2 linked regions of the Struthio camelus genome follow. The protein of the gene in region 1 purifies or fractionates together with the protein of each later gene. This does not show direct contact. Links are inferred from orthologs where the notes say so. Each region holds a gene or a part of one and is shown in the gene's direction. Other genes may lie near its edges. The genes, in order: LIMK2 and TTC1.

What was found.
Region 2: the proteins of LIMK2 (region 1) and TTC1 purify together in Homo sapiens (affinity purification with mass spectrometry; 3 studies listed by BioGRID and IntAct, counting the BioPlex papers as one, with this or other methods). This does not show direct contact. The link is inferred for Struthio camelus from reciprocal best matches to the Homo sapiens genes LIMK2 and TTC1.

What each region holds. Positions count from the first base shown.
Region 1 is NC_090958.1:8,182,147-8,190,248, forward strand, and holds the start of LIMK2 (LIM domain kinase 2), read left to right. Parts: upstream 1-4,347; 5' UTR 4,348-4,535; coding exon 4,536-4,551; intron 4,552-8,102. Other genes in the region: E3 ubiquitin-protein ligase RNF185, read left to right, coding at 233-350, 1,448-1,545. UniProt on the Homo sapiens protein: Serine/threonine-protein kinase that plays an essential role in the regulation of actin filament dynamics. Acts downstream of several Rho family GTPase signal transduction pathways.
Region 2 is NC_090954.1:14,188,097-14,196,973, forward strand, and holds the start of TTC1 (tetratricopeptide repeat protein 1), read left to right. Parts: upstream 1-5,025; 5' UTR 5,026-5,087; exon of another isoform or gene 5,088-5,536; intron 5,537-5,650; 5' UTR 5,651-5,659; coding exon 5,660-6,001; intron 6,002-8,877.

The sequences.
Region 1 (8,102 bases):
TGCTCTGGGAAAGTTGCTACTGTGTGAAACACTTTACAACCAGGAGAACTAGGGAGGTAGGTAACAATAGCGTGGCAAACTGAAAGTTGTCAGACAGCATGCCAATCCTTCAGCCTTAGGAAAGAAGCCAGCAAGAGGGAACGTTTGTCTGCAGTTTTGCAAAATGTTTTTGAGATATGTTTTAAATGATTTGTAGCCTTTTTTTAATCTTCTGTTGCTTTGTTCTCTGCAGGGATTCCAGGGCTTTGGGTTTGGGGATGGTGGCTTCCAAATGTCATTCGGAATTGGGGCCTTTCCCTTTGGTATATTTGCCACAGCATTCAACATAAATGACGGGCGACCTCCTCCAGGTACTGTGCGTCCTACCTTCTAGGAGAGTCATATCATAAACAAATGTTTTACAAACTTACTTGTGACTTCTAAAAAAATAGCCTGCTAAGTGACAAAATTTCACTTTCTGGTGAAATAATTTCACTTTTTTTTTTAATTAAGAAAAAACAGTTCAGTTACTTCAAATAGTGGTCTCGTTCTCTAAAAGTTGTTTGGTAATCCCCAGAAACACACCTCCCTATCAGCACTGTAGGAATAACTGAGTCTACCTGTTTCAAACGAGAAAACCTACTGCCCAACGTTTTCTGGACTTCCTGGGTGAAAGGTTCCACCTGGTAAATTTACTTCACTCTATAATATGGGTTGAGGATACATTGTGTTTTGGCCTAGGAATTATGAGGAAAAAACCAGAAGGTCATTCTTCATGTCACATGTGTATTGAAAAGGACCTGTGTTGTCCTTGGGCCAAATGAACTTGCCTATCAGCTATACTTTGCTTTGCACTGAAAAATTGTGTGGGGTCTGCCTGAACTGAGGGGTATTTAAATGTGTGCTGATATACAGCCATCGTTTAACCAACGCTTTTATCTGCTTTTCATCTGGGGACTCAATACAGCAGTTCCAGAAAGGTCCATCCAGAGCTTTAAGCTTGTGCGCTTTTCATCAGTTCTCTTGGTCAAGGCTACACACGCAAGTTTTGACTCTGTTACCATTTGCATATGCAGAGAGATGTATTTCACCTTGAGGGGGAAGGAAGGCTGAGGCAGAGGTTGTAAAGTTCCTCAGGATGGAAACACCTGGCAACAATGAACTTAGCTCAGCTTTGTCCCCAGTACTCTGAACGGACTTGTCCGGACTTAGCACTTGGAGCTGCCTGCTCCTATTAGTCATGAGCAGGCCTACTGCCAGTTCTGCTCTGAGGAGCTGATGCTTCTCTTCCTTCTGACCTTCTGGCATGGCTAGGCAACCCAAGGATAGGAAACCTTGTCAGCAACAGTTTTTCTGCAGGTGGATTTCTTGCGTATTTTTCAACTTATGAATGTGCTATATGCAGAATATACAATATTCTGGAGAAGTTGAAAGAGCTGAACTGTTTTTTTTACTTCCTGTTTTCCAGCTGTTCCAGGGACTCCTCAATATGTGGATGAGCAGTTCCTATCCCGCCTCTTCCTGTTTGTGGCTCTGGTGATAATGTTCTGGCTGTTGATTGCATAAATCTTTTCCATTATCCTGTATATTCATGGCCAGCGAGGCCTCTGAAACAGTTACAAACTGCATCCCCTTCCCATTTTAAACCTCTTGGTGTCTGGTTCCATAGCTAATCACGGGTTCCAGAAACTGGTGGTACCACAGCACAATGAAGAATCTCGCGTTTTGCACCAGAGCTGGAAATTAAACATTGGTTTAAAAGCATATTTCAGCTCAGCTATCTTGTACAACAGGTTCCTGCCACAAACCATGGGGCTAGCTTTGAGCTCCACTTCTAAAAGGAGTGCTGCTTTTAAATCCTGTGCCAATTAGTTACAACAGGTTTACTTGAAAGACAGTTGCCCCAAGGTAGGCTGGGCAGGTAAGCAAAGTTCTGTAGTGTGATCTGTATCTCATGTTTGGCAACCACGATGGACCAGCTGGAGTTGCGGATGTTGTTTGATGTCTTCACATCAACATCTAGCCTTCTTCAGGAAGTCATCTGCAGCACTGCTGAGACTCCTTGGGCGTGACTTGTGATGCAAATGGAACCAGCTTTGGAGAATGCTTTCTTTTCTTGCTGTTATTTGATGGAGTGATGGAAAACTCCCTGCTGAAGTGGTTCCAGTGGCTGTTATAAGAAGGGATACAAGTTTATGCTGCAGTTTCTTAAAACCTGCATTTGCTGGAGCCAGACACTGGAAGATGCTCTCGTCGTGGAGCTGGCTGGGGTTGCCGAACAGTACACACACCTGTCTGCCTCACCCAAGCTCAGTTCCCCGCTGACAAAACAGTGTTGTCTTCCTTGGTTCTTCACAGCAGTCTCTGGCTGCACCCATGGATAATCCCCTCACAGCCTTGTCACTGTAGCTACATTTCTTTTTCCTAAGGCTGTGAGACATTAAGCAAGATCATGTACTCCAAATAAAATCCTATTAACAGATCTGAGATCAGCTTTTTGGGGGAGAGGAATGAGGGACATTTTAAAGTGAGCTTTGAGGTTAAACTTGTCATACTGTAAAATTATGCAGGAGGGGGAATGAAATCCTACCTTTGCTAGCCACAGTGGGGAGCATTTGGAAGAGTTTCTCTGTACAGATGTGTAAAGATGCTCTGTGCCACAACAAAATGGCTATAGCGCAAGAGTCATTGCAATATCTACCAAAGATATTCATTGGAAATAATGGAGGAAACTACAACCATTTCTGTGCTGAGGGAAAAACGTTTCAGAAGGTGAGCACACAAGACTAGCCTTTTTGGAATCCTGTTGGGTACATAGCTTTAAAAAGTATTCCTGATGTATTTGTGTAGATTCTTTCAGAACAGCAGCTATGAGGGATTCCCTAGCAAGATGAACAGTTTTGATTTTTCTTCTGACTAGGCAATTCCAACTTTTTTTTTAAATTATTTTTAATTATTTTGATTCAGATCACTGATAGTCATAATAATTTCCTGCAAGATGAATATTTTGACTTCCTTGGCAGTTGACTGACAGCTGACAAAACAAATCAACTCATAGAAGCCTTGTTTAAATAGTTAGGCTTTTTCTCATGCATATGGATGAGGTTCCTGGGCAAGGCACCTTGATTAATTGTTGTGCAAGCTAACTTCTGTAATTATAAACTGTTCACTGAGGTTTAACTTGCCCGCCTCCAAAATTCCACGTGGCAAGTACAATTTTGCAAAGCTTCTGCAGTGTTTTGCCACATCCAGTCGAGTTTATACCTGACTTGCTGATAATCTGGCAGAATATCTCTCTCAACTATAAATAGCTGAAGCAATGCTTCAACTTTTGTTGTGTGGCACTTTTGAGAAGCTTAACTTCTTTTACATCTGCTTCTTCTCAAGTGCGTAACTCGGGAAGTAGGACCCTTTCTAGGAGAAAGGCTATTTATTGCATTCCTACAAGCAACCGGCCATAGTTTGTAAAAAACGTCGCAGCTTTGACGGGCTTTCGTGAGCAGGCAGCACCACCTGCTGATGAAAAGGAAAAGTTCTCGTGGTTGTACAAGGGAGGGTTTTCCTTCTCCCCGAGTACCGAGAAACTGGGTGCCGAGAAGGAGCTGCGGTTACCCAGGAAGGAGTAGGGTATCCCTTTAAAGCCTTTTTCCTACAAGGAGGACGGAAAAGTAACTGTCGTAGGCTCAAAAGAGGTATTAATCGAGATTTAACTAACACTTATGTTTTAAAATACAGAATTTTTAATGGTTTGGGGGGCGGGGTGTTGCCATCTACTGGTGAGAGAAGCAATGGCTTTAGACTGAGGTGGCTGCAGAAACATGACTGAGAGTCCTTAATTTCCAGGCAATCCAAGAATGAAATAGTCTAAAAGTGTTAATGCTTTTGTTCTTACCTTTCTCTCGGTGTGCTTTTTGTATTGTAGCACTTTCCCCTTGTACTGAGACCGCACGCGGCCCCTAACGGCTCGCTTAGTGCGTCACCGTTACTGTTCACTAATTTTCACTGTTGTGAAAGTGATTTAGAATAAAAAAAATGGTTTTACATTGACCTGAGCGTCTTGGGCCTCTCTGCGCGCTCCGCCGGGGGCCCAGTCACGGCGGCTGCGCGGGGCGCGCGCGCCCCAACGGCCGTTGGTCGGTACCTGCCGCCGGGCGGGGGAGGGGCGGCCGGGCCCGGCGGCGGGGGGCGGCGGGGGGCGGGAGCCCGCCACGCCACGTGGGGGGCGGGGCCGGGGCGGGGCCGCTCCCTGATTGGCCCCGGCCGCAGGAGGGGCGGGCCGCGCCGCGGAAGGGGCGGGAGGGCGGCGGGGGTTGGTCTGCGGCCGCCGGGAGGCGGAGCGGCGATTGGGCCTGCGGGGAGGAAAAGGGCGGGGGCGGGGCGCGGCTCAGGGCCGTAGAAGCGAGGAAAGAGAAGTAGCAAGAGAAGGGAAGGGAGGAGGGGGTTCGCGCGCGAGCGCGCGCGCGCGCACCCGGGCCAGGTGCGGTGTGACCTACCGCGCGCTCCGTAGCGGCTGACGTCACGCGCGGGCGAGCCCCGGGGCGGCGGCGGCAGCGGTGATGGAGGAGCTGCCAGGTGAGGCGGGGGGGAGGGCCGGGCCGCGCCGCGCCTACCGTGGGCGCTGAGCGCCGCCGCCGCCGCCCTGCCCAGCCGCGGGGCTGCCGCGCCGGGCTGCGGCTCCCGTCAGGCGGTTGGGCGGCAGGTGCGGGGCTGCGCGCGGCCCCGCCCGGGCCCGCCCGCCGTCCCCGCGGCTGCCGAGCCCGTCGGCCAGGCCGGCCGCTGCCTGCCCCGCTGCTGCCCCGCGTCCCGGGGGAGGTCTGGCCCGGGCCCCGGTGCGCCGGGCTCGGAGAGGCGGCGCGGTGTTTGCGTGCCCCGAGGGTGGCGGGCTGCGCGGCTTCGCGCCGCCGAGGCCAGGCTGTCCGTCCCCGTTTCCTGCTCGCCCTTCCTTAGCGTGGTTGTCCGCCGGGACCCGGCGGTCTTGCTCGCTTTCCGCTCCCTTGGTTGCGGGGGCCTGGCAGCCCCGCTGCCGCCGGAGGGCGGCCCCGCTGGTCCTCTGCCGGGCTTTGCTGCTCGGCGGGGGGCTCCTTTCGCCGGCTTGCCGCTGGCCCTCTCTGCAACGCTCCTCCCGGCCTGCGGGACTTGGCAGACCTGTTATATTGATTATGTCTCTTTGCTTTTCCTTCGCGCTATTTCCTGCTCTGTTTTTTTTTTTTTTTTCCCTCCCACTTCCATCACTTCTCCTGGATGCCTAAGGAATTTCAGTTGAATATAGCGTTATTCATTTCCTTTTGTGGGCTAATCAGCCTTCCTGGATGCAGTTAAATTTTTCAGCTTTGCAGCTGGAAGATGACTAGTGCACAGAGTTTAGAAGTGAACTTGTAAAGCTGTATGATCCTTGTGGAGGAATGTCTGTTGCTTTTAGTTAGCAGTAGTGTAATAATTGGTCCTTCAATTTCTGGAAACAGGTTCTCTTTTCTGCTTTCACATTTGTTTCTTCTGCTCCTGGCATTAAAGGGGGGACGGGGGGGTGGAGCTGAGGGATGTGTGATTTGCAGCCTTACTTGGCTGGTAGAGTGGCAGGAATTCCAGAAGTAATTCAGCTGGCTTTGAGGACTTGTGTTACGTTACTTGGAGAGAAGTGCCCCTGCTCCCTGCCCGTTATGTCATGGGCATACGTGGACTTGCCTTTTGTTTCTAAGCCTGTTGTAGTGCACTGAAAAGCATTTCGTTTTACAGAGGCACATGTGAAGTAGTGCAAGCTTTAAGCTTTTTGTAAGTGTCTCCTAACCCTCTTCCAGCAGTGGAGATCTGAGCTCAGCTGGAATTCGCTGTGCTCCAGATAGCAGGAGGGAGCAGAAGCATTCCCAGGTATTGAGCTGAAGTGTTCTTGGGAAATGAAGTAGCAGCTTATGCCACATCTGAATGAATCCTGTCTAGCACTGTAGTCTGCATAGAGACCTTTGTGGGTACTGCTCATCCCCTGACAAGGGTGGTGCTTGTTTGTGCTTGAGCAACAAGTCCTGTCACTGAAACAGTTATCTGTGAAAATGTACGAGGACATCTTCAGCCTAGTTATTTTTAAGTGTTGTTAACTGACCCACGCAGTGGGGTAAGAATGCATAGAAGTCTAATGACTTATGTTTTGTGTAACTTCAAGGAACTTGGCCTCAATACCTATTAATGTTTAGAAAGCTATGTGAGCAAGGGGAATTTACTGTACCTTGAGCACCTCTACATAGTCTATGCTGAGTATTGAGCTTTTATTTTAATCACTAAATCTAGACTTTTTCCTCCTCTTATCTTTACTTCTCTCTTTTGGTTCCCTGCTCTATTTGTTTTAAGCTCTCCCAGGTTGTTTACCCTAGCATTTCAAGGTGATGCTTTGCCCATCCACATTGCGGTAATCATAACTACTATGTCACGATACGTACTGAATACCGCTTCTCTGGTTGCTGTCACAGGGGCTTTCATTAACTAGTCCCAGAGCCTTTTGCAATATTGATTTGTTACTGGAGCACTGAATATTGTGTGTGTGTGTCTCTCTCTCTCTCTCTCTCTCTCTCTCTTTCTCTTTTTTACTATTATTCTGATAAGCCCATAACCTAGTAGTTCTGTGTCTTTGAATTGTATCTGTTGGAGGTGGTAACGTTCTCTCAGTTTAAACCATGAAGCTAAAGAGAGACTATGAGATAAATAAATCATCTTCCCTGTGCAACTGAGGCTGGGCTTATAAATGCTAACCTGTTAACCTTCTACGGCTTTCTTCTCTAGCATCATACAGCTGACTGTGTCTGCTGTAGCTGGGTCTTTTCTGGAGAGTAAAAGTTAGCTTGGTTCTGTTTGGAGTAGGCATTTGAACCTTTTTTAAACTTGACTTGGCCATTCAGAGTCTGGGGAGTAAGTGAAAAGTGTAACCCTAGAAGTAGTGTTGGCTTTTTCTGTACTAGACTTGCATATCCTGGGTGGTTTCTAGCCTGTAGATTCTATAATAGCTGACATGAAGTTCATCTCACAAATAGCTAATGGGTAGGTGTTCTCCCTGTTTTATGTGAACTTACAGAGGTGGTAACTGTAGGAAAATGATTGAAAAGGATTTGGTCCGTTTAAGAGCTATCTTGTATCTGTATAAGTTACAGGGTGAAGTTACAGAAGGAAGCTGCTTGCATCTGACAGCTTACTGCTTGCAAGTGTGCAACTGCACCCCGTTGCAAATATTTGATACTTGCAATTGATCCCAGAGAAAAACTGTCTCCTTTAATGTATGCTTTAGGAAGAAGGGGTAATTGAGTGACTGCTGAGTTTTTCTGTTCTTTGGAAACTGGAAGTCCGTGGTTAGTGGTTTTCCTTCTCTAAGCATGCTTTTTTCTTTATGCAACCTTGCTGCAAGTAAACCTCTAGTAGCAAGAAGAAACAGGTTTGAGATCTGCCCAGTAGCTGTGTAACATGTTTCTTGCACCATCTTGTGCCCATCCAGATCCTTGGTTCTTGCTTTAAGATAGTACTTGTATCTGTTTGGATTCGGGATAGCATTTATCTTTGTACAAGAATCTTCATACAGTTTTTCTAGCTTGTATACACCTAAAGAACTAGCTGTCTCAGGGGCTTTATGGCACTTCTAGCAGAAGCTATTATAGTTCTTGGACTAGCCACGGCTTTTTCTGAAGCAATAATAGGCCAATAGCATATGCCCCTCTCCCTAAATCTGGCTCCAGTCTAGTGTTCGTTGTACAGTCTCTACTGGAATATCCATTCAAGTGTGTAATTCCTTCCTGGTAGTCGAGTTGTCCTCTGCTGAATAAAGTTTGCCTTTCCTTTCTTTCTGTTCTGGGAAATGCAGTTAATTATACAAATGAGTGCAAATGTTATGTGCTGAGTCAGTGGCATGGGGGAAACAGTAGCTTGACTTCCTGGCCTTGCGAAAAATAATATTGCTTTCTTCTGCAGAATATGAGGAAGCTGATGGTGGTGTGGGATCTTGGGGGGAGGGGGGGGGAACAGAGGGGGAAGTAGTACATTAAATGTTCATTTCAGAAACCTCTGTCCCTGGGATTACAGAGTGGCCAGTATTGGCTTAACTTTCTGTGCGTGAAGGCTTTGATGTCAGATACATAATTTGAGGATGTCTT
Region 2 (8,877 bases), on another chromosome or scaffold:
TCAAATGCTTATCTTTATAGTCTCTGGCTGTTTGAATGCAGGGCTTTGGTTCAGTTTACTTGCAAAATTTAAACACCTTAACATCTTTTATATTGTATGAAACTGGAACGGTAAGAATGAACAATTTTAGGATCACCTCAACATTTCATAGGAAAATACAAATATTTTTGAGGTACAAATATGAAACGTTCATTGGGTAAGCAAGGTCAAAATCGGAATAACTCACAGGTCATGGAAACAGTTAAAGAAATAATGCAACTTTCTGGAATGAAACACTAGCAAATTATTATTCACCAAGTCAAATGTAATACATGGATGGGTATCAGAAATCTTTAAGAGAGAATGTAAGCTGTAGCTGGTGGAAGAGAGCTGCTCTTATTTACTTAAAAAAAAAAAAAAACACCAAAAAAGCCCCCAAAACCCAGAACATTGTGTTTCAAGGGTGATTTTTCAAAGCATAGGAACAGCTTTTTCAGTACGTTTTGCATGCTCAGCTTTCATGTTTATGCATGTAAATCAAGCAAATGAATACACAAATGAAATCCAGTAGTAGAGTGTCAGCCAGTGTGTCCCCGAGGTCACTGCAATTATGCATGTAGATTAGATGCCTCCTTGTGTGCATAGCTGTCTTGAAATTCTGGCCATAGATATTGAAGCTAGAATCTCCCAGTGCGAGAATTAGTTGCCAGGTATTGTTCTCAGGATCCTGTTTGTTCAACAGAAAAACCAGCTAGCTTGCAATATTTAAAGCTATTTTATGCCGATTGTTATATTTTATGAACATTTTAACCTTTGAAATATTAGAAATAGCAATTCTGGTTGTCTCTGGTCTTGTCAGAAGATGTTTTGTGTTAAGTGAACCTAAGGATATGAGCTATGAATTCCAATAACTTCATCTAAAGAGTAGAGTCATTTTACAAAATACTAAACACACAAAATAGAGAGTAACTGGTATGAATTTAAACATAAGTGGTTTTGACTAAAATGTCCTACTCTTCCCAGTTGCCTTCTTGTCTTCTGTAATAGTACTCACAGTTGTAAAAGGTAGATAGAAATCCAAGTTCTGAATCTTAAAAGTGGTGAGAAATCCTGCAGAAAACTTTCATGTCAAAAAGAAACAAAAGAATGCACTTTTTTTTCACACTGCTTTTTCCTATGCTTCAAGTCAATCCAACACTCTCCAGTTACCGCAGTCTTTTTTTTGGTACGCTACACTGTACTTGCACCAGCTGATCATGCCAGATAACACCATCATCATGAGGCTGTGGATAAAGGAAGAAATAGGAAAAATTTTGGAAGCGTAAAGAAGGTCTTGCTGGAGGAAAATATGGATGGAGATGCAGAATCTTTCTCTAACTTTACCTCTTCAGCTTATGCTTGGCTCAAGAAAATTGCTGAGGTATTAAAGCGTTCCACTTCAGGTATGCGGTGACCCTGGATTTTGCTGTGTGCTTACCCTGGGAGGTAAGCTCTGTCAAGACAGTGAGTAAATCTCACGAATACAAACTAAGGCTTCCATAACCAAATTCTTATCCAAACACGTCTACTTATTCGGGATTATATGTTCTTGATTTTTTTCAACAGGTGTTCAGTTAAACAAACATCGCTGCTCTAAAAAATCCCTTAGGACGAAGAAGATTAAACAAATGACACCGAGATTCCATTTTTTGTATATATACAAGCTTTGGCTATTCATACACTTCCACTTAGAGCAATGAATTAGAGGTTCTAAAAGACTGATTAAAGCTGTAACGTGTTCTGTGTTGGAACGAGTGAAATTTATTGGTAAATCTGACAACTGCCCTATAACCTCTGGGGTAAGTGATTCTTACTAAAAAGTTTATGTTTGAAAATACTGTAAGAGAGCATGTTTATATATTTTTCAAACATTAAGTAACCTATGTACAAAACACTTCCATGAAGAAAGTTAGAGTGTAAAGGAGGAAAAGTGAGACATACAGTGCTAAGTTAGCACTGGGGAACCTTAAAGGTTGAAGTTACACGCATCAGTTGCATCGACAGCTAAAGGAGGTTAGAGTAGTCTCTGGCTCTTCATTTGGTACGTGGAAGATTGGTTCCCTGATGGTGGCAAGAGAGCTCTTTGGTTCTTCTGGTGGGTGTTTAATCCCTGAATACCAGTGCAGTCTTTGGGCTTTTAACTCCTGTTGCCACATACAGGCCTTTCCACAGGAGGGACATTCTATTCAGAGAACTGAACTGCTTTCACTGAACTGCAGCTTGCTCAGGGCTAACTTCGGGATGAACCACCGTACTAAACAGAGGCCAAGAGGCTCAAAGGTCACTCCTCTGAAAAGGGCTCCTGACGACACCCCGATCTTTCATGGAGTAGGACGATGGGAAAGATGGCCCTTCTTGCTAGCTCTAGAGAAAAGCTGCATTCCCTAAACGAAATCAGGGAATTGAGTTCCTGGTGAGCTGCAGCATTTTCCCTACTTTGTGTTGGGAGAAACATAGTGCTGACTAGATTGCAATTAAAAAGTTCAGGGATCTCTAAAGCGTTTCCAGATCAGAAGAGACGCTAGCAGAAAATTTATTTGGTAAAATCTGCTATTTTTTTCCACACACTTCTTCATATGAAGCGTCAATGAGATGCTACATTTCATCAAATGTGAGGAACCCTAATTATAACTGTGCTGATAAGGAAAAATTGCCAGTCATTTCAGTCCAGCAGCCCCACAGCAGGGGTGCCAAAGGTGACAGACAGATTTTGAACAGTGCTCAGCAGGGCTGGCTAGGGACTGGAGTTAGGAGCTGCAGCATTTCTGAAAAGCAAACGGAGTTTGGGGCTCTGTGGAAGCTAGAAACTCCTGCCTCACACAAAGGCAAGACAATACCTTGCCACTGAGCAAGGTATTTTGAGCAGCAGCTCAAAACTTTTAAGTAGTGCCACTTTGAGTTTTTACCCGCAAACAAACTCTTGTTTGCTAAAGGGAAATACAGGCTGGCACACCACCCTGGAAGGTATTACTCTTATCAGTACAAGTCTTCTTAGGTGTGAAACCCTTTATCTTTCTCAAACTCCCATGCTCTTTGCACAGTCAGAGGAGTTTTAAATAACATTTCAGCCAATTCAAACCTGCATGGCTTGATTTTGTACCATGGCTGTAATCTCGTCCTCTCTTTCCCAACCAAATGATATTGTATAGGACAATGTGAGGGTTCAGAAATATCTTCTGTAAGTCAGAATAAATTACACAGTCCTAGCAGAAGAACAGCAGAGAAGTACATTTTTGTGGGCTAAATCATTGCAGCTGGGATACTGCGGAACACTGAAACCACTTTTTTACCCAGAGAGGGGAAAAAAAACAGCTTTAGGGCTCCTGCTTGCTTTCACTGTAACTAGCCATTCTACTGCCAACTTACTGTAAAGTTTCAGTATCTAATACCCACATCCATCCTTGGCACCAACAGACATTTGAAAGATCTTCGTCATTTTGCTTGACGTTAAAGCTGTTGAGGTGTTATGGAATATACAGTAGGAAACATTCATTTAGAAGCATTGATCAAACAAGGTAAGACCAAAAATGAATCTAGCTCTTCAATTGCTACCTCAACTTTGAAATGCTGAACATCCCACAAGCCCTTCAGGCTTGAACTGAAGCTTGACGACATCACTGAGTGGATTTTATTTGGACGACAGGATAGATTTCAAAATATTTCTAAAGATCCACCCCTTCCCCAAGACTCTCATATGGGCTAATTACATTTCAGTACTCTAGTGGAGTTTTGCCAGATGTGTTACTGCAGTGATATTTTAATAATGGTGGCTGGTAACTCCTGAAAAGCTGACACGCTTTTAATAGTCTGTCCGTGTATTTCCGCACAGTATGAGAGGGAAAGGAGGGGAATCTCCCTCTGAATAAAAGATGGATTACTGTCAGTTTTCAAGAACCTACGTTCTCTTAGGATAATCCTTGACCACTTCCTACTATGAGAATAGATTCTGCCTAAACAGTATCTGCAACGGCCTATATAGCACATGGGCTTTTTGATTTTTTTGTTAAATTAGCTCTGCATAAAACATTTAGAGCAACATTTGAAACTTGATTTTATCTTTCATCAGAACTTGCTTACTGAAAAACTTTTCAGTATTTGTGAACCTTTTAGAGCAATAAAAACCTCTTAAGATTATTCCCCAGCTGTCCTATTGTTTGGCATAGAGATTTATGTGCTGCTTCATGTGATTTTAACTCCAAAAGTCCAGAAAATTCAGTTTTGCTTTGAGATTTGGGGTTAAACAATTCTGAGGTACAGAATGAATGACTACAAATCAAAATGAAAGGGAGTTTTAGTCCAGTACTTAGCTACATCGCAATTGAGAAACCACATCTAAGGCCCATACTGAAAACAATCAGGTCAAGACACTTTAGGAGCATCATGCACACTAGAGAGTCTCCCTCACTGGATAAAGAGATCATTAGATAAAGTACAGGCCACGGAAGCAGCAACTGCACTCATGTCACAGATACGTCACTATACATATGCTCCTCCTTTTCATCCATCTAGCGAGATTTGCTTCTTTATTATCCTCTCACATTTGCAGCCTAACGTTTCCTTCCAAGCCAGGTGGCGGTGGCCTGGGGGCACTGCCCACCTGCGCCAGCCCCAGCTGTGCCCCGTCCCTCACCCACCTCCTGCCACGGCTGCACTGGGGCAGGCCTCTGCCACCCCCGGCACCTCCTCCCCCTTTAACTACACCTGATGCCTTCAGCTGCCCCTGGGAGAGCAGCACCCAAGACCCCTACAGCCCACCCACCCGCGCCCCGCCGGCGGGAGCACCCCCTCCCCCCCAGCCTCAGGAGAGGTGACCCACCCGCAGCATCCCTCACTCCGCCCGCCCCCGCCCCCGCGCATGCGCGTGGCCCAACCGCCCTAACGGCGCCCTCCCGCCGCGCGCCAAACGCCCCGCCCTGCGGCTGGGCCGTGGCGTCGCCCTCTGCGTCACGCCTGCCCGCAAGACTACAAACCCCAGCAACCCGCGCGCGGCCCTCCCCGATTGGCCGGCGCAGGCAGGAAGCGACCTGCGGGGTGAGAGGGCAGCGGGGCAGCCGGAAGGGAAGGAGCAGGTCTCTGCCGGCGGCTGTGGGGGGCCGGTGGGGGGTGGTGGGCCCGGCCCGGCGGGGCCATGGCAGGGCGCAGGTCCTTCGTCTGCCCCGCTGGGGCGGGGGGCGGCTGAGGCGGCCGCGGGGCTCTGCCGGGAAAGGCTGCCCCCGGTGTGGTGGCCGGGCCGGGCCGGGGGCAGAGCGCGGAGGTGGGCGGCGCGGGAGCCCCCTGCCCGGGGCAGAGGGCGAGGCGCGGGCGGGCGAGGTGGTGCCCAGGGCGCTGGGAAGCGTGTGATTTCAGGCCGTGCGCGAAGTAACGGCCGGAGCGCAGAGCTGTGCTGTGCCTGTCTAGGGAATCCTTGAGCGAGTAAGTTGCTCGTGGAGTAGTGTAAGGGCCCCACTGAACGCTACGGTGATTTGGAGAGGCACGTACTAGTTTCTGCATCTCCTGAAGGGATAGCAGTTTGCCTGAGGTGATGCTGAGAGTAAAATTTTAAGTACTTTGATGTTCATTAATTGATAAGGCTTTATATTACTCTTATTGAGGGTTATTTCTCTCTCATTTCTAAAAACCTGACTCCTCTAAGGTGTCCGACATGGAAGAATTTAAAGATTCAAGGCCATCTGAAGAGTTACTCCGTAACTTAAAGCTTTCTGATCAGAAGTCTTCAGAGAGCACCAGTTCTTTGGCAGCTGGCCCCAAAGGTGCACAGAATCCAAAAAACCTCAAAAGTGAGTGCATACCATCTTCAGCCAAGGAGCCCACAACAGCAGATGAGTGCTTCCATGACTGTCATGACTCCTTTGAGGCAAAAGAATCTGAAGTGGATGGTGAAGGAAATGTACAGAATGATGAAAATAGCTCAAGGAAGCAAACAGAGCTAGATGAAGAATACTTACTAGAACTAGAAAAAGATATGCCAGAGGAAGAAAAACAGGTAATACAACTTACTAAAGTTGAATGCAAAAAGATAAATTTTCAATGTCACTTGTCTGAATGATCTGTGACCTTTCTGGCATAAAATCCAGCATGTAGCTGGACCTTTAAGACTTCTTAATATGCTTAGTTTTACTGTTCTTAAATTCTTGGTTTTGGTAACAAATATTTTTGTTAGCTGTCCGTACTGTTCTTAATCATTGCATTCCTTTGAAGTTTTTTTTATGTGCTGCTGGGATCACCAGTGTGTGCAGTTATTGTGATGGAAAGAGATTATAAGAAACAAACATCTCCTTATTTCAAGTTGTTTAGTTTGTGTGCATTCATTGTTTTCCCCTAATTAGCTGCAAGGTGCTTTATAAAAACTCAGAGGAGGTTTCAGGATAGTTTTGATATCTGAAAAGCTAGTTTGTGTAATACTTTCAACTTTAACCTCAATTAGCTGTATCTTTTTAGATTAGTAAGAATTTAAACAAAACCTTCAAATGTTTGTATTTTTGCTTACTTTCAGTGCAGTTACATTGGACAAAACATTTGGGTAACAAACTGGATATTGCGGTGGGGAGGAATGGAGTAGGTCTGAGAGGAAGTCCAACAGCTTTCTCAATCCTTTCTACTTCCCTGTAAGTCTGAGTGAATCAGTTTGGGGTTTTTTGACCCTCAGTCAGCAATGTCATGTGACCGTAGCTTTTTTTCAGAGTTCTAAGGCAGATATGGTCATCTCATATTTAAAAAATAGAATATTCTTTTCTGATTTTTTTTTGAGAAAACTTGTAAATCCCTTACTCTAGTGTAAGAGTGGAGTCCTGAAATGTGGTGAATTTTGCCAGAAATGATGCTCTCATAGTAAATGGTGAAATGCTTTCTGCAGGTGTATGATTCCTTTTTTTCTAATTTTTTGCAACTTATGTTTGCTAGTAGAGGGGAGTAAGGGCATTAAACTAAATCAATGTCCTGATATACAGCTCTTAGAAAAAAATATTTTTTTCTGAGTTTTGAGCAACCTACTTGTGTTAAGTTAGGAGGAATAGAATGATGTAGCTTAACCTCTCAAACAGATTGTGCTTCAAAGAACTGATTCAGCCTTTTAGAATCTGATTGGATTATCTAAATGAACAGCTATTTGTACTGAAAACTGAAATATTGATGAAAGGTGTGCTATGTCTATTCTTCAGCAGTTGGGGAAAGGTGGACTTTGACCTTTCATAGCTTACGTAACAGAAGATGTCAGTGAAATTTATTATATTGTACTCTATTATAAGCCTATGAGCATGAATTAGATCTTATTTTAAGAAAAGAAATACAGTCCTTATTGGAAGCCTGGGTGCATAATTTGGGTCACAGGTAACACACTGAATAATGGATTACGATGAGTGAAGGAGAGAGTTGGGCAAGGAATGGCAGCGGACAAAAAGGTGAACAGGGTCTTAGGAAAGCATTATCTCATAGGGAATAGCAGTGTATAGCTTCATAGTTTTTATTCTGGAAACTCCTAAACCATCAGGAACAGTAGAAGAAATAACTACTGCAATGGACAATGGAGGAAAACTACTAAAATGAAGCATTTGGTAAAAACTTGGAACTGAAGGCTCATATGAAATGAATTAAAAAATGTGCATAAAATACTATGAATGTTGGTAGCGATTCTTTAGTTAAGTTTCAGGAGATTTATAGGAGTTTATTAGTTTTTTGTGTAGGCAAGAGGATTCTTTCTTATTCATCTGACTTGGAAAAGCTGTACTGTTCTTTCACAGCTGTTGGCTAGCCCTGTCTATGTTTTAGAAGTAAATAAACGCTGGTCATCCATTGTACCAGAGAGCTGGAAAGAGGAAGAGGCTTGGCAGCAATTTTGCTATGCCATGATCTTATTGTCAGCTGCTGTAAATTGAGCCTGATGAGCCAGAAATATGCAGAGCGTAGATCCAAGAGGCACCTGAACAACTACATTGTTAGTTACAAACCAGTGTAAAGAAATGTAATCAAGCTGTTGCTCGTGTAGTTCCCTTGCTGGTAAGATGTTCTTTTGATCAAATATACCAGTGAGGAAAAGGGGAATTTTTCACCTGTATTATGGATAGTCATATCAATGTGCAAATTCCTTGAGGTGGAAAAGCAATATGGCATGGGGAGGGGAACATATTAAATCCTTAAAATAGGAATGAGACTAAGTGGAACGCTTGTCTGCTGCTTGACCTCATGGAAATGTCTCCCTCTCCCTCTCCCTCTCCCTCTCCCTCTCCCTCTCCCTCTCCCTCTCCCTCTCCCTCTCCCTCTCCCTCTCCCTCTCCCTCTCCCTCTCCCTCTCCCTCTCCCTCTCCCTCTCCCTCTCCCTCTCCCTCTCCCTCTCCCTCTCCCTCTCCCTCTCCCTCTCCCTCTCCCTCTCCCTCTCCCTCTCCCTCTCCCTCTCCCTCTCCCTCTCCCTCTCCCTCTCCCTCTCCCTCTCCCTCTCCCTCTCCCTCTCCCTCTCCCTCTCCCTCTCCCTCTCCCTCTCCCTCTCCCTCTCCCTCTCCCTCTCCCTCTCCCTCTCCCTCTCCCTCTCCCTCTCCCTCTCCCTCTCCCTCTCCCTCTCCCTCTCCCTCTCCCTCTCCCTCTCCCTCTCCCTCTCCCTCTCCCTCTCCCTCTCCCTCTCCCTCTCCCTCTCCCTCTCCCTCTCCCTCTCCCTCTCCCTCTCCCTCTCCCTCTCCCTCTCCCTCTCCCTCTCCCTCTCCCTCTCCCTCTCCCTCTCCCTCTCCCTCTCCCTCTCCCTCTCCCTCTCCCTCTCCCTCTCCCTCTCCCTCTCCCTCTCCCTCTCCCTCTCCCTCTCCCTCTCCCTCTCCCTCTCCCTCTCCCTCTCCCTCTCCCTCTCCCTCTCCCTCTCCCTCTCCCTCTCCCTCTCCC